7 linked regions of the Cricetulus griseus genome follow. The main gene of each other region encodes a partner of the protein of the gene in region 6 in a complex. Links are inferred from orthologs where the notes say so. Each region holds a gene or a part of one and is shown on either strand. Other genes may lie near its edges. The genes, in order: Rxra, Med25, Med21, Med31, Med26, Med1 and Rarb.

Region 1 (4,307 bases), on a different chromosome or scaffold from region 6:
CCCATGGCAGCTGCCCCTATGTGACCAAGCTGCAGTCTCAACTCTAAACCCCACACAGCCCACAGACTGAGCAGTGCAGACCTGGGCTGTGTGGAGAGCTCCTCACCCACAGGCAGTCCTTCCAGTGGGCCTAGCTCTCTGAGCCCACATCTGAGACAAATGCTTGTGCCCAGCACAACACAGTACCAGCCCAAAAGAGAATACAGGCAGACAAGGCCACTACCACAGTCAGACCACCAACAGGGGGTCACTTTTTCTCACCCTAACACTTCCTCAGTCAACAACAGAGTCCCCTCCAGAGTTTCCCAAAACAAATGCCCAAATCAGTAGGCAGCTGGGGGCCTAACCGTGAACTGCCTCGTCAGGCCCAAGCTGGACTCCAAGCCCAGCCTCCTGAGAGTCATGTGACCCTGTTATTTCGGGACGACCGGAATGTGCTCTATTTTGGGTCACAAGGGCTCCAATGTTACTAAAAGCCCCCTCACACAGGCCCCAAGTTCACTAGATCCCCAAGAACCACACAAGAGGGTGGTTGGAGGCCTAGAGCCCCACTTCTGGAAACCTGTTACCCTCACATACAAATGAGCCACACAGCTGAGAGGGTCAGTGCAGGCTTGGGACCTTTGGACTCTGCAGGCTCAGCCTTACAGTCCCACCATCCAAGCTGAGGCCAGGCTGAGCCCTTACCCCACTCCCCAACTCCAGCCCTGGGCAGCAAAGCCAGGAAACAGGGACTGCCTGGGGCAAATTCCCCATCCTCCCTTTCTTCTCAGATCTGTCCCATACAGATCAACTCAGTGGAGAGAGGCTCAGAGGCTATCTGAACCACCAAACCCCACACAGTGCACACTGGGAAGAGCCCTCAGTCTCAGACCCCAAAAGTGGCAGGGTAGTGAAAAAAGGACGGCCAAATCTTCCCAGCCACTTCAAGTCAAACCTAAGTTGTCAGTGGGGACCCTGGATGAGCCAGATCCTCTGACACTCAGCCCCCAGGAGGGATTAGGCTGTGTTGACAAAAGGGCTTAGGCAAGTAGCTGCTTAAATGGACCTTCAACTGCACTGGACTTCAGAGCTGGTCACAAGCTTAGTAAAAAATAAAATGTATTCAGAGCCCAGGACTCACCACTCAGCCCTGGGGCACAAGCTGCCTGGGAGGCCACAAGCTGGTCCTGAGAGCCACCACTCTGTGAACCCAAGACTCTGGGTCTCCTTGTGGGGGGACAACAGCTCCAAGACACAACTCCTCTTGTTGAAGACTCTAGCCCAGTCACCCTGCAACTGTATGTGTCAACTTCTAGAATGGGCTCTGTCCCTCCTGGCATGTTGTTTCCCATCCCTGGATCTAGGCAAAGTATTGCCAGGCCCTAGCCATGATCCAGGCCAGAGACTAAGCAAAGCATTCCTGTCCTAAGGACCCAGCTCTGAACACATAAAGGCTTGGGTGGAGGAGAAAGAGGTGTCTCAGGGGTCCCACCAACCCCACATCAGGCCCCACAGCAACATGCCACAGTAATACAGCTTTCTTGTCAGTGGACTTTGGCAGGGGGCTCCAACGCCAAATCCACCATTTACAGTCTCTAAGTGCGGCCTCTCCAAGCCAGTTTCTCAACTACAACATGGACAGAGTTTACACCCTGGGAGCCAGACCCTCAAGCTCAGCTGAGCCCCCATGGTCTTCAGCACCGCTCATAAGGACGAAGTGTCTGAAGCTTTGACAAACTTGGAACACTCTATCAAAGTCACTCTGCAGCAGACCTGTCTGGGAGCTGTAAGAAGGCTGGGGCCAAGGGGGTGCCACCTCCCCAAATCACCAAAAATCCTGGAAGCCATGCTGGGTTCTGATCACCCCTAGGGGTAGCAAAACTGCACCCCAAGCTTCATAGGGGATGGCCAAGCAAAGAGGCACTGATCATCATGGAGCTTCGTCCATAATCAGCTGTCCTGATTTCCATTCAGCACAAATTCTTCATCAGCCTGACAGCCTGGCTGCTGTCCTCACCACCAAATTAATATCCTTCCCAGAGCTCATTTATAAAGTCTCTCTACACTGTTTCCCTCTGGCTCCCAAAATCCCTGCGAGAGCAATGGATTGGGGGGCTCCGACCCTGCTGGGTTCCACTCCCGGAGTTGGCAGGCTGACGGTCACTGAGAGCTGCTGGCGGGAGGGCAGCAAGACAAGAAAACGGACTCTTCTGCCTATGGGCTGTTCTCCCCCCCTAAATACCAGGGAGAACAACTAGGGGTGCCAGAGCGTGGGGCCCCAGTTCTGGGTTTGATGCTCCTCATCAGAGGCCCCTGGGTGACCATGCCCACCTAGGTTTGGGCTGCTGTCGGGGAACGGCAAGATCGCAGACTCCGTCTGGGCCAACAGACACCCAGGGGCCAGCGGCCTGCTCCAAACAGCAGCCCGACGAGCCCGGAGGAGCAGTGGCCTCCCGGAGCCCAGCGCGTCGCCCCCATCCCAGTGCCAAGGAGGCCCGGAGCCCTCCAGCAAGCGCAGAAGTTGCTCCTCCGGCGTGGCCGGATTCTGGGCGGCTGAGGCTGGGCGCCCCGGGGTTCTGCGGACGCGCTACGCGCACCGTGAGGGACCCCTCTCCACGTCTTGAGCGAACCTGCCGCTCGCCCCAGCCCCGCCGCCCACTCCCGCTCCCCGACAAGTCAGAGGCCCGGTGCCCTCGCCCTCTCCCGCCGCGAGCCCGGGCCCGGGAAAAGTTGCCCTGTGCCCACTCGCCTCCCCGGGCCCGGCGCGCCAACTCTCGGTACCGCCACAGCGCGGGGCCCAGCGGGCCTGGCCGGACCCCCCACGCGCGCTGCGCACGCGCCCCCGCCCCGCCAGCCCCGGCCCCCTCCCTCGCCCGCGCCGCCGCGGCCGGCACTCACCGAGCGGCAGGAAATGTTTGGTGTCCATGTCTGCGACTAACTTCCCGGCTGGCGGCGGAGCAGCAGGGCGACAGCGCAGCGGCCCCCGGCCGGCCGGCCCGGCCCGGCGGCGGGGCGGCGGGCAGCGGCGGCGGCGGCGGCGCGCGGAGGCCGCGGCGCGGCGAGTTGTTGCAAAAGTCGCCCAACAATGTAAACTACTTGTGCCTGCGCGCGCCCGGCGCGCGTGTCCGCCGCCCGCGCCTCCGCCGCGCGCCGCGACCCGCTCCGGCCCGGCCTGCAGCGGGGGGGAGCGGCGGGGGGCCCGCGACGGGCGCGGACTCGGCGCAGCGCCGCCGCCGCCACTCGCCCCGCCCGCAGCCGGTGCGCGCCCCGCCCGCCGCTGTCGCCGCCGCCCCGCGCTCGCCGCCCGGCCCCGAGTTGTGAGCGTCCTGCAAACTTGCAAGTTTGCGTCTGCCAGGGGTTCCCGGGAGCCGTGGGGCGGCGGCGTGGGAGGAGGGCGGGGCGGCCGGCTGAAGCAGCCTTCCCTCCCCGGCTGCCCAAAATCCCCGCGGCCCGTGGTGGAGGAGGAGGAGAGCGGGGCCAAGAGGAGAGCTCAGCGGCCGGGCCATTGTCTGCGCGGACACACAAAGAGGCCAGCCGTGGTCGCTCGGGGACCATGGTCTGGCAGGGCTCCCTAAAGGAGAGCTGAGGCCCCGTGCACCCCAAGGGACACATGGGGAAACTGAGGCCGGGGAGGGGTGATGAGCCAGAGGCAAGCAGCTGGGCAGGGGGATGCCCCAGTGCCCTCCCACTTACACGCGGGAGGCCCAGAGAGAACCATGGTATCTGACCGACCGAAGGCCAGACCCGGGGCGGGGGGGGGGGGCGTCCGCGTACCGGTGTTACCCCGACGGCCCCAGCCCTCTTCTGAGGTGCGGGGTTCGAGAGGCGCTGCGGCCCGCTTCGGACATCGCCCAGTGGCCCCAGGCTATTTATATACCTTGGGCAGCTCTCTGCCCTGACTTTTAAATTCATGATTTGTTTGTTTTAAAACGAAAGGAAGCACTCCTACCCAGAGAGAGCCTGGGCCTCCTCCGCAACCCGCCCGCCGTCTTGGGCGGCTGGAATTCGGATTTGGGTGTGAGCTACCTGAGCAGAGCCAAGCCAGCCTCCCTAAGCGCACTGTGTCCCTGAGCCAAGCCAGGCAACCGGCAGTCCCGCCTCCCTCCACTCCCAGCTGGTGCCTGCCAGACCAACATCCAGCGTGGAGGCCCTGGCAGAGGGGCTTACCAAAGTCCACAGGCACATCGTGGGTGCTGCCCAAAGAAAGCACCTCCTCTCCAGACAAAAAAGGAAAGCCCTGCCTGGGTGCGCTACTGCCGCCCTCCAGAACTGCACTTTTTCTTCGAAGCATCCCAGAAGGTCTATAGAACTGTCCCAGAGGAAGG
Region 2 (4,536 bases), on a different chromosome or scaffold from region 6:
GTTTTAGTTGTTAAGAGCACTTTCTGTTTGCGCTTTTAAAGGAACTAAGTTCAGTATTCAGCACCCACATGACAGCTCACAGTCTCCTTTAACTCTTAATTCTATCTTCTGATCTCCATGAGTACTACAAGCATGTGGCATTTAAGTACATGCAGAGAGATATTCATGTACATAAAGCAAAAATAAACCTTAAAAAACAAAAAGCTGATTGTGACAACATCCACAGAGAAACTCTGTTTCGGGGGTGGAGTGGGGTGAAGAAAACAAAACAAAAAAATAAAAATAAAAAACAAACAAAACTCCATCAAAAACCAGGAGCTGGGAAAATGATACAACGCAAGCATGAGAACCGAAGTTCAGATTTCCCAACACTCACATTTTAAAATGTGTTTGTATCTTTCTCTTTTTTTGTTGTTGTTTGCTTGTTTTGTTTTTTCAAAACGGAGGAGTTTCTCTGCGGAGCCTTGACTATTCTGCTATTCTGGAGCTCACTCTGTAGATCAGGCTGGCCTGGAACTCAGAGATCCGCCTCTCTCTGCCTCCTGAGCGCTGGGATTAAAGACGTGTGCCACCGACGCCTGGTTCAGCTCTTTTCCTAATCTTTTCTCTGTTTTCCTTTTTTGAGACAAGTTTTCTCTGTACAGCCATGTCTGTCCTGATACTCGCTGTAGACTTGGCTGGCCTCAAACTCAGAGATCTGCTTGTGTCCACTGTGCTGGGATTCAAGGATTCAAGGCTCCAGCACCCCTCTGTCCACACATGTTACAGTAATTTTCCAGGTCATTTTATATTCATGACGTTGGCTGCAATGCCGAGTGACTCATTTATTTATTTATTTGTTTATCTGTTTATTAGGAATGTATTTGCTTTGAACCAGTTACTGGCTTCTTTCTCAGAAAACAGGGATCAGGTGTTGCTTAGCAACCTCCACTTAAGTTGGAATTCGCTTCTTTCTGAGCGAAAACAACTGCCCTGGTTTCCAAGTCGTCTGCAACGTTACAGTGTTGCCTGGCAACGCCGTTTCCGAAGATGTGATTGGACCGCTCTCTCCCATCTGTTCCCTGTGAGAAAGACTAGAATTTATTAACTTAATCTCCGTGTGAGAACACAACGGCTGGGTACGCGTTGCCTAGCAACCTGGCTCCACAAACTTCCCCCTTCAGCTCCGAGTCGGAAACTGGAGGCCGACTCCAAGATGGTGACCGGATATGCCGTTTTCCGATTTATTTCGTGCTTGATGTTGTGGACAAAAGTTTGTTAGTTCTCAAGAGTCCCCCAGAGGGGTTTGTGGTGCCCGTTCTGATAATTTCCTGGTGTGGGAATCGCCAGGGTAGAGATAAAACCACCACTCCCCGGATGCCCCGCACAAACATGGCCGCGTTAGCTTCAGCGGAGGTTGCCAGACGTCCGGCGCGGGTGAGCGCATCACGCAGGCGCACTTCTGTTCGTCCCGGGACCGCAACGGCAGCTGCGGCGCTGGCGGCGGCGGCGCGGGGCATGGTCCCCGGATCCGAGGGCCCGGCTCGGGCCGGGGGCCTGGTGGCCGACGTGGTGTTTGTGATCGAGGGAACAGCAAACCTGGGGCCGTACTTCGATGAGCTCCGCGACCACTACCTTCTGCCCGCCATAGAGTGAGTGAGGGCCCTCGTCGTCTCCCTCCGCCCTGACCTGCGGCTCGCACGGACGCTGCATTTCCTCCTGTCTTCGCAGGTACTTCAACGGGGGACCACCCGCAGAGACGGACTTCGGTGGAGACGTGAGTCTGTGGCCGCGGCACGGGGAGGAGGCTGGGTGTGGACCTGGTCTGAGGTTGGGAGGCCCTGTTCCAAAGACCTCCGTTTTAAAGTTCTTTTGTCCTGTCCTCTCAGTATGGTGGAACCCAGTACAGCCTTGTGGTGTTCAACACAGTGGACTGCGCCCCAGAGTCCTACGTACAATGTCATGCTCCTACCAGCAGCGCCTATGAGTTTGTCACTTGGCTCAATGGCATCAAGTGAGCTTTTCCTTCATTTTGGGCAGATTGGGGACCCCAGCAGAACTCAGCGTGGGTCTGTGCGAGTCTGTCTTGTTCCAAGCAAGAATGGGCTACCCAGGCAGTGGGATCCCTGGGTACAGACCACCACAGCCTGCTAGGGTGTGAGTGTCTGCAATTACTGCTTGCCCTGTTCTTGTGCTTGGTTTGCAAATGAGTAGCAGTGTAGACTGCTGGGTGCAGGAAGGGTCTCTGAAGCTAATCTTTTCATGTGGAATCCACAATCTAGTTGTGGTCAAGGGTCATTTGACAGTGCTGATCTAGTCCCAACCGGTTCTTAACCGTCCTGACTTGGTGAAGCAGGTGTGCTTTGAATGCCTGCTGTGTTCCGGTTTTTTTTTTTTTTTTTTTTTTTTTTTTGTGTGTGTTGTGTGTGTGTGTGTGTGTGTGTGTGTGTGTGCATGCACTCCACTTGGAGATTGTCTGGACTGGGAATTTATGTAAAGCATGGCTTCCCATGCTAGCCATTGTTGACACTTAGCACTCAAGTTTTGTTAAGAAGACTGGTTTATTTTTGTTTAACTTGTGCAAGTGTTTTGCATCCATGCATGCCTGTTTACCTCTTGTGTGTCTGGTGCCCTTGGAGGCCAAAAGAGGGTATCAGATCCTTTGGAACTGGAGTTAAACAGTGTGAGCTGCCATTTTGGTGCTGGGAATACAACCTGGGCCCTCTGGAGGAGCAGCCAGTGTGGTTTCTTTCTTTTTTTTTTTTTTTGGTTTTTCGAGACTGGGTTTCTCTGTGTGGCTTTGGAGCCTATCCTGGCACTCGCTCTGGAGACCAGGCTGGCCTTGAATTCACAGAGAGCCACCTGCCTCTGCATCCTGAGTGCTGGGGTTAAAGGCGTGTGCCACCAACGCCTGGCTGCAGCCAGTGTTCTTTAAGATTTTTATTTATATTGCCAGGCTGCAGTAGTGCACGCCTTTCTTCCCAGCACTCAGAAGTCAGAGGCTGGTGGATCTCAGTGAGTTTGAGGCCAGCTAGAGGGCAGATGGCACCTTAGTTAAGAACTGCTGGGCTAGATTGAAGTGAGACTTGAGTAACAACCATCTGGAGTTCTGTGAAGCCCCAAGGTCCACACTGCTGCATGTCAGGGTTGGTGTATGTGAGGCCTCTCTCACATTTGGTTAGGCGTGAGTCTGAGGGCCAGTGCCAGCCAACTCAGTTCTATTGAACTCCTGATTGGCTGTTAAGTCTCCTGTGTCCATTTCTGTGCAGGGAACTTGTGTGACTTTTCTTATGAGCCAATTGTCCTCTGCTACCTGTCACTGCCTCTGCTTCTGGACCTCAGTGGAAGTCCAGTACCTGCTGTTCCTCCTCTAGACTGCTTCCAAGTAGGGTTTTGCTCCTACAAGGCTTAAGGAGAAATCTGTGTAAACAATGAGTGATGGCTGCTTGAAAGCTCCTCAAAGACACCGGACCTTCCTGGTGCAGACTGCAGGAAGAGTGGCCCTCCCTTAGGAAAAAGGCTGACTATGGGTACTTGAAGATAAAAGGGAGATACTGTCTGGACTGCACTGTGTTCCCCACTTGTACACTTAAAATCCTGTAGCTACAAGTGTCCCCAGTTTGGAGGCCTCTGCTACTGTTAGGTAGTTCAGCATTGTTTTACTCTCCCAGGGTCACTGTTCTGACCAAGGGCCGTGACCCATGTCCAGGATGCTCTGGGCAGGACTGGAATGGAAATGAGAGTCAGCAGGACTTGTCCCTGCTTGAGAACACTCTCCTTCTGCTGTTGATGATGGTGCTTGGAGACAAGGTGCACAGTACAATTAGGACACAGCCTTGCTCTGGGCTTGTTTGTTTATTTTGTTTTGATTTTTGATTTTTTTTAAGACAGGGTTTCCCTGTGTAGTTTTGGAGCCTCTGAGTGCTGAGATTAAAGGTGTGTGCCACTGCCACCTGGCTGAGTTCTTTTTCTTTTCTTCCTTTTTTTTTAAATTATAAGTCCCATTTTATTTTTCCAAGGTGTTTTTCCTTCTGTCTTCATGAAGCCACCTCTTTACATGGGCTTTGGTGGCGGTCGTGGTGCAGCACCAGCAGGTGTGGTGGGGGTGTTTGGTCCTTCCGGGCTTCACGAGATGGATTCCTGACTACCTTACTATGACTAGCACAGCTCACACAGGAATGTAGCCTGACATTTGGGAAGCACATAAGCATTGAAGACACTTACTTCGGATATGTCCCTGACAGCAACGGCCTCTACAATGTTCTGAATGACGAACTTTTTTTTTTTAATTTATTTATTTTTATTTTATGTGCATTGGTGTTTTGCCATGGGTGTTGGGTCCCCTGGAACTGGAATTACAGACAGTTGTGAGCTGCCATGTGGGTGCTGGGAATTGAACTCAGGTCCTCTGGAAGAGCAGTCAGTGCTCTTAACCACTGAGCCATCTCTCCAGCCCAGTGATGAATTTCTTAATGGCCTTGTCCTTGGGCACGCACGGGGCGCAGTTTGTGCAGTGAATTGGCTGCACATGGCCACAGCCCTTTTTGGCATGCCCGT
Region 3 (3,721 bases), on a different chromosome or scaffold from region 6:
TGGGATCACATACCTTAAATCCCAGCACTGAGGAGGTACAAAAGGAAAAAGCAAAGGGCCTCATCTGGAGATTTATTCTCTATCCTCAGTGAGGAGAGGCGGCAGTCTGAGGCTTGGTGGGGAGCTCGAGGATCAGCCCTTTCACCTGAGGTAGAGGTGAGAGCTAGTGGCCGGCTACTTTCTCTGATCTTCAGCTTGAACCCCAATATCAGTCTCTGGGTTTTTATTAATTGTGTTACACTAGAATGTGTGACACTCTGAAGAAGAAAGCTTTCAGGTGACTGTCTATTTCCTATCTGCTCTAATAGTTTCTTAAAAAGACTTTCAGAAACTTTTGCTCAAAGATATAAACTTACATGGTGCCATCTTTAAGGAGGGGGACACTATCTAAATTGAAATGTCCCATATCATGGCCTTTAAGGCTATGCTGACCTGTGGATGGGCTGCAATCATACAATGTCTGTCAGAACCGGGGAATATGGCCTAGTGACAAAGTGCTTACCTAGCATACACAAGGCCTGGATTCCATTCTGTACTGCACAAAACAAGAAAAACAACACATGCAAAACATCAGAGAGCTGTATTGTATAGCTTTTTAATTATAGCATGAACATTAGTACAGTATCTACCTTGAAAATTCTAGTCAGATAGATAAAAAAATGACATGATGTTTGAGGATGACTCAATTGCAATCGCAATCTTAAAGCTTTTTAATATCGAGAGTGAAAACTAGTAAAAAAGGAAACAGTCACAGCGTATGATGCCCCCCAGCTGTTGGAGGGACTTAAGCCCATATCTGAGGCGGTATTCTTAGTGCCCTTCAAACAGTTATTTTCTCAGTCACCTGTTTCTGTTGTTGCTAGGAATCTGGAAGCGACTGGCTACGGGTGACACTTCTGGTCTTCAGTTGTGACTGTGCAATGTCGGCAAGCGCACTTTGGATCTTTTCCAGAAGCATGTCTCCCCGATAAACAACATCCTCCAGACATGTAGCAGCTTCATGATTTTCTTCTTCTAGCTTATATAAGCTAGCAGCCTTCATAAGACATGAATTTTAATATGCTCAGAGATGAAATGCAGAGAAACTAAAGTACAAGTATTTATTTTAAAATCAGAATGGTTTTCCAATCATTTTTTTATCTTTAGTAACAGATAATTCTAAATACCTATTTAATTTTTCTCTATGACTTATTAGAAGACTAATTTTCTTTCTTTCTTTTTTTTTAAAAAGATGCATGTATTCATTATGTATACAGTGTTCTGCCTGCATGTATCCCTGCAGGTCAGAAGAGGGCACCAGATCTCATTACAGATTGTGTGAGCCACCATGTGGTTGCTAGGAATTGAACTCAGGACCTCTGGAAGAACAGTCAGTGCTCTTAACCTCTGAGCCATCTCTCCAGCCCTGAAGACTAATTTTCAATCAGAATATATAGGTGTTTGCTTGTACATTGCTTGTAGACGTTACTTTGCTCCACTTTCAGTAAGGGCATTAGGAGACTTCTGCCTAAGATTAAATTGCTCAGTGTCAATACTGCCTCGAATACACATGATCTGATCTTTTAGGTCAAAACTGGACAACTATTCAGCACAATCTTCAGAGGCTGTTTTAGTTCACAATTATAGAGTGTTTGCCTGCTATGTGAGACCCTAGATTTGACCACAAAACAAGCAAAAAACCAACCACAATCAAACAAAACCCAAAATACCTTCCAATTAAACTTTAGTCCTAATTTGAATGCCATACCTCCTTTAATTCAAAGTTCTCTATCACTACTACTTTTATGAAAAGAAAGGAGTTTTCACCTGTAAAGCAGCTGTCGACTCTTCGCTGGGTAAGGAATCTATCAAAACATCAATATCTTTCGCTGTTCGTGCAATCAGTGCTGCAAAAAGCTGGGCATACTCTGAAAAAAAAAAAAAAACAACATTAAGTTAAATTAGCAAAACCTTACATTTTCACAAGCACAAATTATAAATTAATAAAACTAGAAAAGTTCAGCTTTCTAATATAATCCTAATGGTGAAAGTATAATTTTAGTATATCAGTACTATTTATACCCTTAACATTAATTCAAACTGGGAATTAGCATAGAATGTCATTTTATATACTAGGACAACATTTTGGTACCTTGAGCAAATGAACCCATAAATGAGATCCTTTTTTTTACTAAGGTCATACAAGCAAAACTCAGTTCAATCTATACAGTTTATAATTAATATAAGCCTCAATGTGTTTATTTGGGACTAAAGGGCTGGGGGACCAGGTGAAACAGAAATTCAGTCTTCATAAGCTCTCCTCTAAGGGAGTAACAATCTTTTATTGAAGTGAATAGAATCATGAGGCACATGAATTGAGCTGATAAACTCATTCCTTGACCAATGAGATAGCTTTGCAGATAAGGGCATGTAGTTGCATGTTTTCTGTCTCACCCGCCAGTTTATAATTGTTTGGCTGATAACTCAGACTTCTTACTGGCCTTTCTTTCCTTTCTTTTCCTTCCTTCCTTCCTTCCTTTTCTTTCTTTCTTTCTTGAGACTGGGTTTCTCTGTATTGCTTTGAAGGCTATCCTGGAACTGGCTCTGTAGACCAGGTTGGCTTTGAACTCATAGAGATGTACCTGCCTCTGCCTCCCCAGTGCTAGGATTAAAGGCGTGTGCTACCAATGCCAGGCTTTTTACATATAAATTAACCCATTTTTACTAATCTATGTATCATTTAAGATTTATTTACTTATTATGTATACAGTGTTCTGGCATGCCTCATTACAAATGGTTATGAGCCATCATGTGATTGCTGGGAATTGAACTCAGGACCACTGGAAGAGCAGCCAGTACTCCTAACCTCTGAGCCATCTCTCCGGCCCCCTCTCTCTGCATCTTTGTTTGGATTTCCCACCTAGTTATATTCTGCCTGGTCACTGGCCAAAACAGCTTTATTCATCAACCAAAAAAAGCAACACTTATTCATAGCATACAGAAGGACCTCCCACATTGCTACCAAGTCTAAGGACCACAGTGTGATCCCCAGAATCCACATGGTGAAAGGAGAGAACAGGTCTGGAACCTATGACCTCTTATAAGCATACTATAGCAGGCCTGCCCACATACACACCAAGTAAATAAATGCTAAAAAATCATTTATGGAAAAACATAGAGCAATGCACTTCAACCACAGTCACAGTTTTACAAAGGAGCTATAAATTGTAGAAGGAATGTTAGTCAAACTAAGGAGACCTCACCTTCTGTGGGATTGGCGGGTTGGTCTTTATTAATTGCTGTTTGAATGTTACTAAAAGAGGCAGGAGGACCACATTGCTGTAATACTCCAATGGCGTTACAAAACTGATCTGCAAGCTTGAAAAAAAAAAGAAAAAAAATCAAGGTTACAAAAAGAGTTGTCAATTTTATGGATTTTATGAGATATGGCAACAATTTCTTCATAATAATGATCTCTAAGCAAACTCACAGAAAGGAATATTTTTAGATAAAATGAGCCAGTTATTACAAACAATGGAGTTCATACACTAATCGTACACTCTCACCAGCAATCTATTTACATCTAGCCTGAATTAAATGGTTTAAACTTAAGTTTGGTATCAGTCTAGGTGAAATTAAATTTGGTATCAATGTAGCCTAAAGTAGCTGAAGTGATTGTTTTCCTCTCTTCGAATGTTTATGGGTATCCATCCTAGCAGATGCAGAAATTGCAATACAGAAA
Region 4 (4,374 bases), about 25 Mb from region 6:
AATACCCAGTCTGTAAATCTGCTAGCACTGTTATAACAGCCTAATAACTTAAAAGTCTCTCCTTCAGATTCCTAAAGGAATCAATAATTGCATCATAAAGAGCAAATCCGGTGCAATCTGTTCTACAGGCAGTCCAGGATCAATTCAGAAAAGTGACTAGGATATAAAGAAAAGGCTTGAAATGTTTCCCTCTAATTTTTAAGATAGGGTCTATGTAGCCTTGACTGGCCTGAAACTTGCTACATAACTAAGCTGGCCTAAAACTCACCGGGATCTGCCGGATCTTCCTGAGAGCAGGGATTAAAGGGGCATCAGGCTAAAATTTCTGGGTTTGTTGTTGTTGTTGTTGTCCACCCTTTTAGGGGAGGGGGAGTTCAAGACAGGGTTTACCTGTGTAGCCCTAGCTGTCCTGGAAGTAGCTTTGTACACCAGGCTGGCCTTGAACTCAGAGATCTATCCACCTCCACCTCTACCTCTCAAATGCTGGGATTAAAGGTGTGTACCAGCTTGTTTTTCTTTTTTAATTAAGACAAAGCAGAGGGGTGAGTTCAAGGTTTTGTTTTACCATTCAAAGGGATAGCTGTGTAGTTGTGATGTTTCTCACAATTGTCTATCAAACAACTTGACAGTGTTCATGTTTGTCTTTCTTTTGTTTACAGTGAGTTAATGTGCACGATACATTTAGCACAGTACTTGACACATAGGAAACTATAAAGAAGACAGTAAGTCTAAGACTCCCAGAAAACACCACTTCTTATATGTTCATTTTCAGCTTATGGCTATACCACTACATTTTAGTAGTTTATAGGTTGGAAGGCATTAGAAACCCAGAGAGACAAGGGGAATGCTAAATGACAAGTTCAGACAGACCAAATCAAATCAGAGTCTTACTCTAAAACTAGTTACTGGATTTTATCCTACATGAATAGAAGTGGCATGTTCTGATTTATACTACTAAGACAGTAAATTGGTTTTGACAGACAACTGTTTGGCTTTGTTTGGTTTGAAGGGAGTGAGGTAAGAATGACAGCAGAAATAAGTGAGATTACTGTAACAATTCAAATTAGAAATGACAATGACATGACATGAACTAAAAGCAGAAAAATTCAAAACATAGTTTGCCATTCTGACACCGAGAAAACTGCTAAATATAAGCACTTCGTATTTATAATAAAGTATACACAGATTTAAGATTATAAAAATTAAACTTACTTTAGATACTTGGCATATTCTGGTTCTTTCCAGTAAAGCAAGTACTTAAGATAATTTACAAAAGCTTTGTCTTTGAAGTAACCTCTTTGGGCAAGAACTGAAAGGCATAAAGAAACAATCTGTATGTCAACCAACTGCTGGACTACTGACTTGTAATCGCTACAATAAAGTAGCTCTTTTAACATTCCTACCATCAAAACACAAGGAATTAAAAAACACAAGTCCTTGTTTGCTCAGTTAATAACTACAGACCATCGAAAGTAAAATCCCATTCAAACATACCGAAGTAAATACTATTATGAATTCCATCTCTTCTGTCAGAAATCATTAACAGCTAGCTACTCAACTTAATGATGTACTCGACTTACAATTAAGGTAATTTGGGTTGGCTAAACATTGCACAAATTCCAACTCCAACTGAAACCGAAGTCGATTTCCAGCATCATCTAGGAGAAAAAAGTAAAAGACACCCAAAATAAAAGTCACGATACCAATGATTTGTAGAAACAAAAACAAACTGCCAGTGAGACTGCTCAGCATGTAAAGGTGCTCACAGAAAAGTCTGATGACCTGAGCTCCATCCCTGGAACCCGCAGGGTTGCAGGAACAGTAGACTCCTGCAAGTTGTCCTCTGACCTCGGCATGCACCGCCCACCCCCATAGGAATGAATTTATGAAACAAATACCAAACTGCAGGAGAGATTTCCTTAGAAATCTCAGAGTGGAGCCTGGTTTAAAACAAAACAAGCCGAGTGGTGCATGCCTTTAATCCCAGTTCTTGTAAGGGGGAGGCAGGAGGATCTCTGTGAATTCCAGGCCAGCCTGGTATACATAGCCAGTTCCAGGCTAGGCAGTAGTACATAGTGAGACCCTGTCTTCAAAACAAAACAAAGATAATAAATTACCTAAAGTTAGTTGAGAAAAATAAACGAAACGGCTATTTAAGGCCACTATGGGAGGATGGTAACAGAGATCACTGGTTGGTCTGTAATAGCTGTGCCACCCCCAATGTTAGCGTTACAACCACAACTACTAACAGTGATTAAGTTAAACAAAAACAAAGTGCTAAATAAAAGCAGGAAGCAAGATGCAAAATGATTAAACAGCGGGGAGGAGACGGTAATCCGTATCAGAACCATACACGTTACAAACATTTCAAGCAAGTTCACGGGAAAAGCTCCATAGAGCAGACAATTGAAGGGCTCGGTCCTCTCCCTCAGTCCCACCCCGGCCCGCGAGCCAGGGAGTGGAGGTGTGAGCAGCCCAGGAGCAAAGATGTCGTTCACACAGGCCACAATCAGAGACAACACCGCCTTCTCCCCCACCGATCCCAACTCCTTAAGGATGCCGGGTTAAGCCCGAAAGACGGCGCGGGGAAACCGGAGAGAAGGGGGGAGGACCCGTTCCCTCGGTGAAGACTCCAGGAGCACGACACCACGAACCTGTCTCCATAGCGACGGCCGCGGCCATAACCAGAGAGGAGAGAGACGCGAACACAACCAGCCCGACCCAACCGCGGCTTCAAATGGTGAGGGAGGATCCGGAAGCCACGGCTCTTATTTCCGGTCGCGGGGCATGTGGGACGCGAGGGCGGAGACAGCCTCCTTCTGAGGAGAGAGGCCCCGCCTATCTGTGTGGTCTGGGCCGGCAGCCTGAGCAATTATCTAGCGGCGCGTGCTGGAAGAGCTCGTTGCTCGCAGATCCTATGTGGCCCGCAGCAGCCTACACTGACGTAGCTCATCACCCTGACGTCACCGTCCCTTGTGTGACGTGACACAGAGCATGAGTCTTGGGCCTCTGTGTCCCTTCTGACCTGGGTGTGCCAGCAGGATGGCCTCGCCCCTTAGGAGTAAATCCTTCGCCCCGCGAGTGGAAAGCACCCGCCAAAAGGAAACGTCGACTATCCGCGTGGAGACGTCGTCCCACCGCGAGGAAACGTCATCCCACCGCGTGGAGACGTCCTCCCGGCAGGTTCGAACGTCTTCTCGTCAGGTGGAGACCTCTCAGCGCCACCGAGAGGGACCCTCCCTGACCTCCTCCGCGAAGCGACTCCCTAGATTCCTCGAGGTATCCTCCCAGCACGTGGAAACCTCCTCGCAGTGCACGGAGACGTCCTCCAGCCACGTCAGGGCGTCGTCATCCCTGCGGGTGGAGACGACTGTGCACCGTGTAGAGAGCCCAGCCAGGAGGGACAAGCAAACAGCTCGCCAGAGTGCCAAAATGACCCGATGAAGTGGCCATGGCCCTTAGCCAGCACTGAAGTGTTTCCATTTGCCAGCCAGCCAGCTTCCAGGAGAGCCAAGCATCTTTGGTTTCATGGAAACAGCCTGTAAATCAATGTAAGAAACAGGCTGTGGTTTCTGGGTGCTGCCAACATGTATTGAGATTGCATCACCTTAGACCACCCTGCTGTTGACCCAGTGTACTATTTAACTCGAAGCCAGCACAGAAGGGCTTCAGACTTGCGGTGCGTATATACTCGGCTGATGATGGACAAAGAGGCTCTTTGAGTCTCTGCACCAGGTAAGTTTCGTAGCCTGAGGTCCCTCTAGAATGGTTTGACCACTTGAAATTTGCGAAGAAGGACCAAACTTGTCATGAATTCATGACCACTGGCTTGATTATATAGTGCTTGAAACCAATAGAACAAAGAATCATCTTTCATGGATTATTAATTGACCTTTATTTGTATTTCATAATAAGCTTTCCTATGTTAAGTTTTTATACACAGTACTCCACATACAGGCTTTTATTATTTTTTAAATAGGTCAGGGGGTGTTGGGGAAAAAAAGGCAAGTCAATTAATAAAAAATATGCTAAGAAGGGAAAGTGAAAAGAAAGCCATTGGCACCTGACCTGAAGGGTGAGGCTGACAGAGGATGGTTACTGAGTACCTACTGTGTGCTAGGTACTAGTCAGAGCATGTCAGCGATAACAGTGGAGAAGACTAAGATCTCCCTGTAGTGAAGAGGCAGAAACAAAGGGGAAAGCTAAGGTCTCTTGTGCTCATGTGAAGGAAAAGGTATCTGGTAGAGAACAGGGAAGTTTCTCTAGAGAATACCGTCAGGAAGAGCCTTGCTAATTGTGTGGGTGAACAGTGAGCCATACCAGGAACTGGAGGGGAGTGCGTTCTAGATAGGAGGAAAAGCCAGCATAAAAAGT
Region 5 (4,279 bases), on a different chromosome or scaffold from region 6:
ATACATTAGAGACTGTTGACTCCCTGAACTAACACACACAGAGGTGACTGAAACTTCCACAATTCTGGAAGTCCATTAGCGGCCTTTTGGAAGGGAGGGGGGACTTCCTGAAGTACAGGCCTGGCAGAAAGGACAGTGCTTGCTGCTCAGAAGCTAGAACACACAGCAGAGCTGGCCTTCCTCTAGAGACCTCCTTGGTCAAGGAGCTGCTCCCAATTTCAGAGACTGTGGACAGTAGGTCAGCTGCCTGGCACTGACTTTCCAAGCAACAGCTAAATTTGTTAGCTATGATTGCACTCATAAAGGTAAGCATTACATGACACCAATCTCTGTCACTTTCTCTCAAGAGGGTTAATTTTAGTGTAAGCTCTTCAACTGTGTCCCCATTTTGTATTTTTTTCCATGAACATCTTAAATATGTGTCAATTACCAAGTGGTAGAGCTCATAACTGGGCAGAGCAGAGCCCTGTGCCAGCACACAGCTCTTACTTGGGCCCTGAACAATCCAGAAAAAGTACCCTTCAATGCCTCTGGAAGAAATCAAGGACAGTCCTCCAGGCTGAGTTCTACAAAGAGGTCCTGCAAAGCCAGCACATGACAGTGTTCATGAATAGTTACTGATACACTGCATTTAGAGAAAAACTTCCCTCCTCATTAAGAGACAAGTTCTCAACTCTAGCCATCACAATGAGGTCACTTATCCCTATAGCCCTTTGAGATACACACTCCACTCCAAGTAACTTACCCACAGGTGAAGGAGTATATTAACACTTAGGCCCAAGGTAAGATTCAAAAAGCAAAGGTTTGGGGACCAGGCACTGTGGCCCACGCCTTTAATCCCAATACTCGGAAGGCAAAGGACATAGTATGTTCCAGAGGCTCTGTCTTAATACACACACACACACACACACACACACACACACACACACACACACACTCACACACTAAAATTTGAGTCCTCTATCTTCCTTCTTTTACCCCCAAAAGAATCCTTTAGTCAGAGCCTTACCCGCAAGGCTGCCCCACCTGAAGCGAAGCATCATTACTGCCTATCAAAGCACTAGCTGATCCCAGCACTCTCACAGGCAGCAGTCAGGATCCCTGGTGATTTCTCACGAGTCAACATACAGGACTTAAGAATTACACTGTGGATGCTGGCAGTGGTGTCGCACAACTTTAATCCCAGCACTTGGGAGGCAGAGGCAGGTGGATCTCTGTGAGTTTGAGGCCAGCCTGGTCTACAGGTAGAGAAACCGTGTCTCAAAAAAAAAAAAAAAAAAAAAAAAAAAAAAAAAAATCCACTGTGTACATTGTAGCTTCAGAAAACATGCAAAAGCCACTGAGGTTACATTTTTCACATCACTTGTTTGTATCTTTTAATATCTCAATCATGTAATTGCAGTAATATCAGTCACTGTTTTAAAAAACATTTAAAAAAAAAAGACTTTTTAGAAGATTTTATCTAGCCTGTCCTTACTCCACCCACCAAAAATGTCTAAAATATTGGCTAAATCAGTATCAAGGTGATCTTAATAGGGCCTCAAGATCAGGAAGAAGAGATTTACTTTGAATCTGGCAAGCAGATTCTTCCAGAGATCAGGAAACCTCCATTTCTACCAAGACTGCACAACTAATGTGAATTTCTTGGAACACACCAGAATATGGCACATTACTAAGAGTAACAAGCCAAGCACAAGTAAGGGAACCAAAAGAGCTCCCTGCTCAAACCTCAGTTACCTGGCCAAGCCCAAGATGATTTTTCTTTCCATCCTGAGCATATTAAAAAGTGATCTCAAAGGCCACTTCCTGGTCTCCCAGCAAACACTTCATACCTGGATGCTTGTGCATCTTCTCATGGCCCTGCTGCTTCCAGGAACAAAGACCCTCACCCCCTCCCTACACTGCCAACAAACCTTTGGAAAAAACACAACAGGTGAGATTAGCCTATGCTCACACAGGAAGAAAGGGTGTCCCTCTGCTCATAGGACGCTTAGCAGAGGGAAATGTGACATAAAGTGACCCCATACAGTTAACTCTTGACAGCCTAGAGACCAAACACCAGGCCGAGTCCCTCAGGTGGGGCAAGAGAGATGGAAAGAAGACCAGAATAGGGGCGAGAGAACAATCGACTGTGATGAGCAGGAATTCAGTACCAAAACCCCAGGCTTGTCAGACACACAATGGGACATTTAGGCCAAGAAAGGTGACAGGAAGGATCCCACCTTCTGCAGGGTCGTCTTTCCTAGGTAGCGACCCTTGGAGGGATTAAACTGGGGTCTGTCCAGTATCAGAAAAGAAGGGAAACTCTCCAGGGATCCCAAGCAGCAAGACTAGGGACAAGGAGGGCCTAGGGTTCTCTCCGAGCCCAAGAAGACGATTTCAGCCAGAAGACCGAAGGGAGACGCGGGCTACCAGAGTCATCGGGGGACACTAGTTGCTTCCCACCTTGACCCCCGTAGGGAGACCCTTCCGGGGGGTCTCAAGTCCCGGGGTCGAAGAGAGACAGGGAGGCAAGGTGGAAAGCACCAAGGACAATCTGGCCGAGGCAACCGAGGAGAACCAGGTCTGATTTCGGCTCCGAGCGATCCCTCAGTCCAGGCCGCGTGAAGCCTCGGCCTCAGGTACCCTGAGTCGCCGGGCTGCCCGCCTTGCCCGCGGCCCCTGGACCCGGGAGAACGAGAGGCCGAGATGGCAACGGCTGTGGCGGGCAGGGCGCCGCCGGGAGAGGCCCCCAGGCCGGGGGCGCGTCGGAGGGGGAGGGTCCCGGCACATGCGGCCTCGGTCCCCGTTCTCCAAGCAGTCACTTACGTTACTCTGGGAGTCGATGGCCTGCAGCAGCCGGTCCCTCATCTGCTGCGGAGACGCCGGAGCCGCTGTCATTGCCTGGGCGAAGCGGGGGGGAGCGGCCGGGCCGGCGGGCGGGCGGGCTGGGGCGGGGGGACGCGGGTCAGTCGCTCGCCAGCCTCCGGGAACGGAGCCGCATGTTCCCCGCGGCGCCGGAGGAGGTCGGGGCGCTCGGGGAGATGGCGGAAGACGGAGGGAAGCGGAGGGGACCGGAGCTCGGGCCCCGGGCCGCCGCCGCTGCTGCGAGCAGGGGGGGAGGAGGAGCCGACGGAGAAGCCGCCGCCGCCGCCGTCGCCGCCGCCGCCTCGAGAACCAAACTCCAGTGAGCTGCCCCCGCGCTGAGCACTCTGGGTAACCCGCGCCGCACGCAGCGTCGGCGCCACGCTGAGGAGGTTGGGAGATGGGGGCGGGCGGAGACTCTGGCTCTGGGAGGGGCCGGCTCGTGAGCCGCTTCTGTTGCCTCTGCGCATGCGCGCGCACGCGCGTTTATCAGGTCGCGTCGCCACGCCCCATGGCCCGTTCCAGAGAGCCGTTGGGAGGCAGTTGGGCGGGGCAACGGACGCTGTCTAAAGGCCACGCCCACTCCGAAAAACCGGTGGGCGGAGCTTCCTAACGGAAGCGCACCCGCTGGGTCTTGGAGCTTGGACTCTTCCTCCGGGCTGCCTCGGGGGTGCGGAGAAGGAGGACCCTCCCCTCGGATGAAGGGCCGCAGCCGGGGGCTGGGACCCGGCTCAGGAGCGACGCCAAGGAGACCCGCGCCGCGAGGACCTCGGGAGAGTTCTGCGCAGCCGCCGCCGCGGTGGAAACCGGAGGCGCGGGTCTGCGGGGCAGTGCGTGTCCCCGTATGACCCGCGCAGAGGGGACCTAAGGGCACCGCCGCCTCCGACAGGGCCTGCGCGACCCGCTCAGGAGGAAGCGCCGCTCGCGTCGCCGGCCGGAGGGACCGCCGTGCCCGAGGTGGCGGGGCTGCAGCCCGGCATCCGCCCCTTCCTGTTGGCTTTGCATCTCAGGTGCTGGAAAACAGGAACGCCCCACCGAGCAGGAAAGCAAGCGTCAGAACCACCTGGAGTTTTAGGCCACACCAAGAGAAGCGAGATGTTAAGTGTCGGGCTCCCGACCCCCCGTCTTTGGGTGACCCGGAGCTCCGCTGCAGATGACGGGAGGAGGGCGGGCGGGCGGGCGGCGGGCTCCGAGGTTACCTTAAAGATCCAGACTGGAAACGGAAGGGAAACAGGTAATGGGAACCACATGTGCTCCTGAGAGCTGGGCGACCCCTGTTAATTTTGAATTTGTTATACTTCTGAGGGTTAGCCGGGATCGGGGGATGGGGGAGAGGGGGAGGGAGAGCCTGGCATTTAATGCCAGTGCTCGGTTGGCCCGAGGATCTCTGGAGTTCGTGCCCAGCCTGGTCTACACAGTGAGCCCCAGACCAGCC
Region 6 (3,835 bases):
CAGAGTAATTACTAGATGGAAATAAAAGGGCAACATATAGAAATTCAAGAGCCCTAATTCTGAAAAAATGGACTTCACTACTTTAAATTCATATTTAACTTACCATTTGTTGTCAACTGGATGTGACCCCATAATTAATGGGGCAATTGGGAGTTTGTACATAGCAGAGGTTCCTTCAATTGTCACTGATGCATTCATGCCCAAAGATCGAGGAACTGGGAAAAACAAAAGAAAAAAATATTTTCTTCCTCATAACATAGATCACAAGGATCACACCGCTAAAAGAAACAAAACAACAGATAGGAATGAGGGTCCTGAGTCTGTGAACCCAGCATTCTGGAGAACAAGGGAGGAAAAATGATGAGTTAGAGGCCTGCCTGAACTACAAGATTGGACCAACTCTCAAAAGTAGAACAAAGTACAGTAAGTAACAAGAAGGAAAAAAAAGGCAGACATCATTAGGGGCTACACAGTGAATGAGGCCAAAAGAAACAAAACAACTAAATGCAAGTTCCAGGACAGGCTCCAAAGCCGCAGAGAAACCCTGTCTCGAAAAAACCAAAAATAATAATAATAATAATAATAATAATAATAATAATAATAATAAAATAAAAATACTACAAGCTACCTTTCCATAGCCAATCAATATTTCTTTCTGCTAATGATTAAATTCCTATAGCCCTGGAGAAGGTGGGGGGATTTTCAAGAGCTCATTATCAATGCTTATATTCATTCACAACTTCACAATGTATTTAAATGGGCTTATAATTACAGGATAGTCTATCACTGAAGTTATAATGGGGTCAAATAAATTAGGGGGCTATTTCTTCTGCTCCTTTGCTATATTAGTCCAAACACAAGCCAGGTGTGGTGGTGGTGTAAATCCAGGAGCCAAGAGGAACCAAAGTTCCAGTTTCATCATCAGTTAAATAACAAGTCTGAGGCAAGTTGACCCCCTGCCCCTCCCAGTTGTGACTACATGACATCCTGCCTCAAAATACCAAAACCAAATGGTCACATTTATTTGTTTGTTTGTTTGTTTAAGCATTCCATAGCTTAGGCTGGCCTTCAAATCAGGTTCTTCTGCCTGGTCCATGCTGGCATGGAGCATGTCACAAACACGGCTTTCTCTTTTAAAGTATTAAGGAAAGCTGGTTATTTTAAGTGGTTATTTATATTTCATCACTAACTCATTTATGCATTGAGCTACTTGCATATGTTTAAAGACTTAAGTATATAATATACATGTATATATGTGAGGTGCATATGATATATGTATGTGTTGTATCTGGAACATATTAAAAGGATAACATATTTATTAAGGAATACCAAATTAAGCCAGGCTTTGGTAGTGCAGGCAGGATCTCTGTGAGTTCAAAGCCAGCCTGGTCTACAGAGCAAGTTCCAGGACAGGCTCCAAAGCAATACAGAGAAACAAATATTTTTAACACAATGGAGAAATCTGAGCGTGGTGGTGTATGCCTATAATCACAACACTGAAGAGGTAGAGGTCACCCTGTCTTGTGTATGGTAGTTTATATGTATGACCTCAGTTCTCGGAAGGCTGAAGTGGTATGTATGATCACTATACAATACATTTGAGAGCTAGCCTGTATTACATAGGTAGTTCCAGGTCAGCCTAGGTTACATAAAGAGATCTGTATCAAAGTACAAAAAAAAAAAACAAACACTTACCATTCTTTTCATGCAAAATGATAGGAGATGCAGTCTTATCATCCAGCAGGTCAGAAGGAGATGCATAGTATTTTATGTTCATTAAATGACCTATCATAAATTAAACTCATTAAGGCACTTTTATTAATAAATTATACATTTAAAAAAGCATTCATTAACAGTTGTGGTGGTGCTCACCTATAATCTAGGCACTTGGAAGAGAAAACAAGAAGCTAAGGAGTCTTGGCTATATGAAATCTGATCTCAAACTAACAAGAAAAATCTGGGGATAGCTCAGTGATAGAGTGCTTACCTATAATATGAAGGGCCCTGAGTTCAATGAAATCCTTATTACTTCTACTAAAACATCTATATACACACAAATGCTGACTGTGGTGGCTCACATTAGCCTAGGGTATAGGAGGAATACAAAAAATTCAATGCCAGACTATGACATATAGTGAGTTCAAGATCCACTTGGGGGGCTGGAGAGATGGCTCAGAGCTTAAGAACACTGCCTGCTCTTCCAGAGGACCTGAGTTCAATTCCCAGCAACCACATGGTGGCTCACAACCATCTACAATGACATCTGGCTCTTCTGGTGTTTGACATACATGCAGACAGAACACTGTATACATAAAAATTAATCTAAAAAAAAAAAAAAAAAGATCCACTTGGAAGATAGTGAGATCCTGATTCAACCTAAAAAAAAAATCGGGGCTGGAGAGATGGCTCATAGGTTAAGAACACTGACTGCTCTTCCAGAGGGTCCTGAGTTCAATTCCCGGCAACCACATGGTGGATTACAAACCACCTTGAATGAGATCTGGTACCCTCTGCTGGCATGCAGGCAGAAGACTGTATACATAATAAATAAATAAAAATCTAAAAAATTAAAAAAAAAATGTAGTGCTGTTGATAATTTGCCTAGCACACCCAAAGGTTTGAGTCCCAGCACGGCATACAACTCAATCTATGGAAAGATGCCTCAACAGTCAGGACCCCTAGCTATTCTCCCAAGGTTCAACTTGCAGCATCCATATAGTGGGCTCACAACCATCTGTAATTGAGTTCCAGGGGAATTCAACTCCTCTTCTGGCCTCTATGAGCATGTCATGCATAGTACAAGCATAATACCCATTTGCATAAACAAACAAACAAACAAAAACAAACAAAGGTAAATGCCTTTAATCCGAAAACTTGGGAAGCAGAAGCAGAGACAGGTGGCTAGCCTGGACTACAGAAATACACAGAGAAACCCTGTCTCTAAACTTCCCTCGCCCCAAAAAAGGCAGAATGATAAATACTCTAGGAAGCAAGAGAATCAGAAGTTCAAGACCACATGCACATAATAAGATCAAGACCAGCCTCAACTACAAGAGACAAGAGACCTTGTCTTTATTAAAAAAAAAAAAAAAAAAAAAAGATTGCCAGGCTTGGTGATGTACACCTTTAATCCCAGCACAAGAGGCAGAGACAGACAGATCTTTGTAAATTCTAGGCCAGCCTGGTATACAGAGCAATTTTCAGCATAGACAAGGCTACAGAAAGAAACCCTGTCTCAAAAAAAGACAAAAACCACATTTCTATAAGTGTATATAAGGTCAGTGAAATAGCTCAGCAGGTAAAGACATTTGCATAAAGTCTGACTACCTGAGTTCCCAGAGACCTACATAGTGGAAGGACACTCCCATTAATTGTCCTCTGACCTCCACATTCTTAATAGAACATGCATGCACACACGAGAAAAAGAGAAAGTTCATGTAATAAAATACCAGAGTTGCAAAGATGTGAAAAGTCATGTTTCTCATGGAATATAATAAAAGATTACTGATTCAGGAACAACAACATATTTCACACAAAAAAAGGGAGACAGCAAGTATTAACATCTTAGAAGTTATTTCAAATTACTGGTCATTGTCTCCTTTAGCTTATGTCTTCACAAGCTCAAAGCAAAATTAAAATATCTCCTTGGGGCTGAGTGGAATACCTGGCCTAGCATGCACAAAGCTTGGTTTTCATTCCCATCACTGCAAAAGAACAATAAAAGGGTAGTAAGGGTGCTGGAAATGGCTCAGTGGGTAAGAGTGCCTGTTGCCTAGCATGTGCACCCGAGTTGGGATCTCAGCACTCGTGTAAAAAGCCAAGCATGACAACGTGC
Region 7 (4,323 bases), on a different chromosome or scaffold from region 6:
ACTAGTTCTTAACCATAGGCTTTCCTTAACTTCGGGATTTTTAATCTTTTGTATTTTTTGGGGGGGGGTCTAGAAACCGAAGAAAACATCTTTTGATCAGGATTCAGATGTAGACATCTTTCCCTCAGACTTCACTTCTGAACCACCTGCTCTGCCACGGACTGGTCGGGCTAGGAAAGAAGTAAAATATTTTGCAGAATCTGATGAAGAAGAAGATGTTGATTTTGCAATGTTTAATTAAGTGCCCAAAGAGCACGAACATTTTTCAAAAATATCTTGTGTTGTCCTTTGTCTTTTCTGTCTCAGAATTTTGTACATCTGGCTTATTTTAATGTGATGATGTAATTGATGGTTTTTTATTATTGTGGTAGGCCTTTTAACATTTTGTTCTTACACATACAGTTTTATGCTCTTTTTTACTCATTGAAATGTCATGTGTTGTCTGATTGGCTTGTAGAATTGTTATAGATTACCGTGCATTAGCACAGATTTTAATTGTCATGATTGCAGACTACAGACCTGCTTTTTGAAATGAAATTTAAACATTAAAAATGGAACTGTGTTCTCAGACTCTTTACTGAAGGTGAAACCATAGTAAAAGTTCCCACACACAATTAAAATAAATATATTTATTCTTTGCCAGGAGACTCCATGGAAAAAGGTAAACAGTATATGAACATAGAAAGCACTGTTAAACCATCTCAATGTACAAACAGAGCCAGTGAAAGTACATCACAGACTTTTGCTAATATATCAAAAACAAAAAATTCCACTAGTGCTTACATGAGAACTCAGAACCTGACACTTGAGTCTGTCAACCACTCTACCACAGCTGTCACTCTGCGTCATAGTGATTGAACAAGGCCAGAAGAGGCCACTTGCCTATACCTTCAAGCATCAAGACTGGGGGAAATCCCAGGATCAGGCGTGAGTCAGGAAGGACACTGGGCTACTAGAGTCCAGGCAGACTAGCCTGCTGATTATCCTGTGATATCTCTCCAATGGCTTGTGAACAGGTAAACAAACTTACTAACACTGGACAGTGTTTTTGCCTTGGAGGCTATCATGACTGTAAAAATGCATCTTTTTTTCATTCGGTAGTTGTGTCATTAAGGAATACACCACTTTTAATTTAAAGTGACATTAACAATTGAACAAATGACATTTGATTAACTGAACTGGCAGTTACACTGATACAGAATTCTCTTCTGCTAGTGCAGTGAAGTGGTATATTCTATCTGGGCAACACAAAAGAAAGGATGCAGCTTGAGCATCAAAAAGCAAGGAGAAGCTTCCACATTACTTAAACCAGAGCGTCTTTAGTCTTATCCTGTACTGTACAAAGGTCCTGGTTCCTTACCATGAGGCCTTGTTATTCATGAAAGCAAGATGTACAGTGATGTACAGTAGTCTGCTCCATAACCTTGGTGTCTTGGTTATTGAGTTTGCAAGACAAAAGAAAGCACCAACGTACAGGATAGAAAGAACAAAGCCATACTTCTGTATGTACAAAGTCTTCAGAAACTTAACCAGGGCTAAATCATCTCAACTGGGTCTTTGCCATGCATCTTGACTGTTCAGAGAGGAAAATAGAAGCTCTTAACTAGTTTCTGGTGGCATGAAATGGCTGAATTTCAGAATTTGAAAAGTTTGTATTTCTAGGCAAGTTACACAGTAAGGAATATATATTGATACATATGAAAACTTCTTGGTCCTTTTGGAGTTTAACATATTTCAGTCCAAAAACTAAGCAGCAGTAAAAATGTTTTCCTTGCATTTTCACTTCGGAACTGAAGGTCCTGGGGAATGTCTGCAGTAGCTGGTAGTGTCTCACTGCAGCAGTGGTGACTGACTGACTCCACTGTTCTCCACTGAGCTGGGTGAGACACTGGGACTGTGCTCTGCTGTGTTCCCACTTGAACTTGGGGTCAAGGGTTCATGTCCTTCAGAATTCTCCAGCATTTCCTGAATGAGAGGTGGCATTGATCCAGGAATTTCCATTTTCAAGGTAATTACACGTTCTGCACCTTTTTTGAAAGATAATAGAAAACTTGTTAGATACGTGGTCGGATAGATATGAAGGAACCAACATTCACCTTCAGGGGTGTGTGAAAGGGTTGTGAAATACAGGTCTTTGTGAAAAGAACCTGTTTATTAGAAGTAAAAATATAAAGGTATTTACAGTGGGAATGTGGGCCACCAGAATGTCAGTGTCAGGTGTGCTTTGAGATCCCAATCAGATTGATTTTGAGGTGGAGGCTGATCCAACACTCCCTTTGAATACAGAATATGTACTAACAGTACTCCAGAGGCTGGCTGAGTTTGGTTCATTTTCACTTTAAGGAAAAGCTGTAGAAATGTGTAATGTGCAGATTAGATAGTTGCAGTGCTTCAGTCAGACTCCATAAATTTACAAAGAGAAGTTCCTGATGAAAGGTCAGAAAATATAGGTGAAGGGATGGGTGGTTTCCACAATGGAAGGATGGACTTGAGTCCCCAACGTGTAGTGGTTTTCTGCAATCCAGTCCAGAACAGGATGCTTCTATGCCATCACAGATCCCACAGCCCTTCATGCAGCTGGTTATAAATAACAGGAAAACTGCTTCAGAAACATGTGGCTAGGGTTTTTATGGACTCTGTTAATATGGTACTTGGGAGATTTCTATTCATGGTTATTAGTCCTCAGATCAGTGGCATCTATGGAGAGTGATGTTAACAGCCCTATTTACAAACATACATACATACATACATACATACATACATACATACATAATTACTCCACTCAAGCATTGGTCTCTTTTTTTTGTTTCTCTTAAACCCATGCTGGGATAAACTTAGAATTTATCACTGGACAAGTTCACTTTGTGCATTTACGACCTTCTGAAATGGAGCATGTGTGTCATGGCTTGCCGAGATCCTCAGGTATGGAGTCTGCTAATGACAGTTAATAGCATAGCTGGCACAAGGAATAGTTGCTGAGTCATCTCTACATAGAAAAGCCCTCTGCACTCAGCTGTGAGATGGCTCTAGGCATTTGTATAATTGCCTGAGTTGCCACATAGAGTGAGAATCATGAGGTGAGACTATTTATATCTCTCAACCAGGCAAGAATTCCTTTACACAGAATTACAGTAGTTAACTTGCCTACACCAGAGCTGCAGCCACGGTGACCCCCAAGTCTTACTCATTTGTTTCTAGGGATTAGGATGCAAAGGAAAAACAGGACAAGTGTAATAGAAATCTGAGTATGAAATGCATACACTCAAAATTAAATACACTATGAAGAAATGGCAAAATGGCTTAGAGGGCGAAGAGCTGGCTGTGCAAGCTAGTTGACTTGGTACCCTAGAATGAATGTAGAGATGGAAAGAGAAGGAACTCCACATAATTGTCTCTTAACTTCCAAGGGCATGCATACAAGCCCCAACAATAATTATTTAAAAAGTTAATACACTGTCTAGAAGAGTTGCTCTTCTAACTAGCCATCCCATTTGAAAACTGAATAATCTCTTAGTATCACGGGGTAGTGGTATCTGCTTTCTGCTTCTCTTAATCTCAGGCCAGAGACAATGTCAAGAGTCTTCTTAAAGAACCCTGAGGAACTCTTTAACCGTGTGCACATATGGGTGCTCAGATGATTCTTAGCTCCTTTTGATTTCTGTGGGGCAGACGTTCCAACTTAGGCAGTCAGGAGACTCCTAAGATTAAAGCATGGCTTTTAAAAAGCAAAGCTGGCAAAGCTCTGCCCTCCCCTCTGTCCTTGAAGACATACCTTTAGCGCTGATGCTGCGGAGATCTGTGATTTTCATTAAGATCTTTGGAAACATGTGGGGCTTGCTGGGCCGACGTTTTCTAATGTAAATCTTTAGTGCTTCCAGCAGTGGTTCTTGGAGCTTGTCTACTTTTGTTGGTTCCTCAAGGTCCTGGCGGTCTGGATAGCAGGAGAAAGTATTCACTCTTTAGTGACCCAAGGCTGAAGGACTACTGCCCATCCCCTTCTTTCCCATTCCTCCTGTACAGTGGCTTTATTTAGTGACTCAGTCGCACACTAACCTGAATAAATGCAATTGCTTTAAGCGGTGATAGTTGTTCTTTCGTTAAGCATATTTTGATGCCCACTTGATCTGGTTCAGAGTCAAGAATTCCCTTCATGACCAGATGGTGTCAGTATTGAACTGAACAAAAAAGCACATTGGGCAGGCTGGCTATGAAAGCCAGGTAGAAAAACCTACCCCTTAATTACAGCCATTACTTTTAAACTAATGTTGGCTTCTGGTTAGTCAGCAGGGGTCACTACAAAGAAGGGCCATACTTTACTCCAGT

The links.
Region 1: the proteins of Med1 (region 6) and Rxra are in contact, whole or in part, in a crystal structure (PDB 1XDK), measured with the Mus musculus proteins. The link is inferred for Cricetulus griseus from reciprocal best matches to the Homo sapiens genes MED1 and RXRA. Residues at the interface, in NP_001073587.1 of Mus musculus: Asn641, His642, Pro643, Met644, Leu645, Met646, Leu648, Leu649, Lys650, Asp651; in NP_035435.1 of Mus musculus: Phe282, Val285, Lys289, Phe294, Leu299, Gln302, Val303, Leu306, Arg307, Thr454, Phe455, Glu458, Met459, Glu461, Ala462, Pro463.
Region 2: Med1 (region 6) and Med25 share a complex: the UniProt entries of both Homo sapiens proteins name them as parts of the mediator complex. The link is inferred for Cricetulus griseus from reciprocal best matches to the Homo sapiens genes MED1 and MED25.
Region 3: Med1 (region 6) and Med21 share a complex: the UniProt entries of both Homo sapiens proteins name them as parts of the mediator complex. The link is inferred for Cricetulus griseus from reciprocal best matches to the Homo sapiens genes MED1 and MED21.
Region 4: Med1 (region 6) and Med31 share a complex: the UniProt entries of both Homo sapiens proteins name them as parts of the mediator complex. The link is inferred for Cricetulus griseus from reciprocal best matches to the Homo sapiens genes MED1 and MED31.
Region 5: Med1 (region 6) and Med26 share a complex: the UniProt entries of both Homo sapiens proteins name them as parts of the mediator complex. The link is inferred for Cricetulus griseus from reciprocal best matches to the Homo sapiens genes MED1 and MED26.
Region 7: the proteins of Med1 (region 6) and Rarb are in contact, whole or in part, in a crystal structure (PDB 1XDK), measured with the Mus musculus proteins. The link is inferred for Cricetulus griseus from reciprocal best matches to the Homo sapiens genes MED1 and RARB. Residues at the interface, in NP_001073587.1 of Mus musculus: His642, Pro643, Met644, Leu645, Met646, Leu648, Leu649, Lys650, Asp651; in NP_001276689.1 of Mus musculus: Ile264, Val267, Lys271, Phe276, Ile281, Gln284, Ile285, Leu288, Lys289, Pro435, Leu436, Glu439, Met440.

What each region holds. Positions count from the first base shown.
Region 1 is NC_048599.1:139,356,414-139,360,720, reverse strand, and holds the start of Rxra (retinoic acid receptor RXR-alpha), read right to left. Parts: upstream 2,990-4,307; 5' UTR 2,909-2,989; coding exon 2,881-2,908; intron 1-2,880. UniProt on the Homo sapiens protein: Receptor for retinoic acid that acts as a transcription factor.
Region 2 is NC_048599.1:153,725,394-153,729,929, reverse strand, and holds the start of Med25 (mediator of RNA polymerase II transcription subunit 25), read left to right. Parts: upstream 1-1,428; 5' UTR 1,429-1,497; coding exon 1,498-1,631; intron 1,632-1,710; coding exon 1,711-1,756; intron 1,757-1,868; coding exon 1,869-1,993; intron 1,994-4,536. UniProt on the Homo sapiens protein: Component of the Mediator complex, a coactivator involved in the regulated transcription of nearly all RNA polymerase II-dependent genes.
Region 3 is NC_048601.1:3,053,461-3,057,181, forward strand, and holds the end of Med21 (mediator of RNA polymerase II transcription subunit 21), read right to left. Parts: intron 3,358-3,721; coding exon 3,243-3,357; intron 1,908-3,242; coding exon 1,807-1,907; intron 1,037-1,806; coding exon 860-1,036; 3' UTR 576-859; downstream 1-575. UniProt on the Homo sapiens protein: Component of the Mediator complex, a coactivator involved in the regulated transcription of nearly all RNA polymerase II-dependent genes.
Region 4 is NC_048600.1:86,054,509-86,058,882, forward strand, and holds the start of Med31 (mediator of RNA polymerase II transcription subunit 31), read right to left. Parts: upstream 2,825-4,374; 5' UTR 2,683-2,824; coding exon 2,655-2,682; intron 1,659-2,654; coding exon 1,581-1,658; intron 1,310-1,580; coding exon 1,213-1,309; intron 1-1,212. Other genes in the region: uncharacterized protein C17orf100 homolog, read left to right, coding at 3,043-3,444. UniProt on the Homo sapiens protein: Component of the Mediator complex, a coactivator involved in the regulated transcription of nearly all RNA polymerase II-dependent genes.
Region 5 is NW_023276806.1:247,288,488-247,292,766, forward strand, and holds the start of Med26 (mediator of RNA polymerase II transcription subunit 26), read right to left. Parts: upstream 2,926-4,279; 5' UTR 2,881-2,925; coding exon 2,809-2,880; intron 1-2,808. UniProt on the Homo sapiens protein: Component of the Mediator complex, a coactivator involved in the regulated transcription of nearly all RNA polymerase II-dependent genes.
Region 6 is NC_048600.1:111,292,513-111,296,347, forward strand, and holds part of Med1 (mediator of RNA polymerase II transcription subunit 1), read right to left. Parts: intron 1,786-3,835; coding exon 1,696-1,785; intron 216-1,695; coding exon 104-215; intron 1-103. UniProt on the Homo sapiens protein: Component of the Mediator complex, a coactivator involved in the regulated transcription of nearly all RNA polymerase II-dependent genes.
Region 7 is NW_023276807.1:173,892,094-173,896,416, forward strand, and holds the end of Rarb (retinoic acid receptor beta), read right to left. Parts: intron 3,932-4,323; coding exon 3,773-3,931; intron 2,028-3,772; coding exon 1,831-2,027; 3' UTR 615-1,830; downstream 1-614. Other genes in the region: Top2b (DNA topoisomerase 2-beta), read left to right, coding at 74-241. UniProt on the Homo sapiens protein: Receptor for retinoic acid. Retinoic acid receptors bind as heterodimers to their target response elements in response to their ligands, all-trans or 9-cis retinoic acid, and regulate gene expression in various biological processes.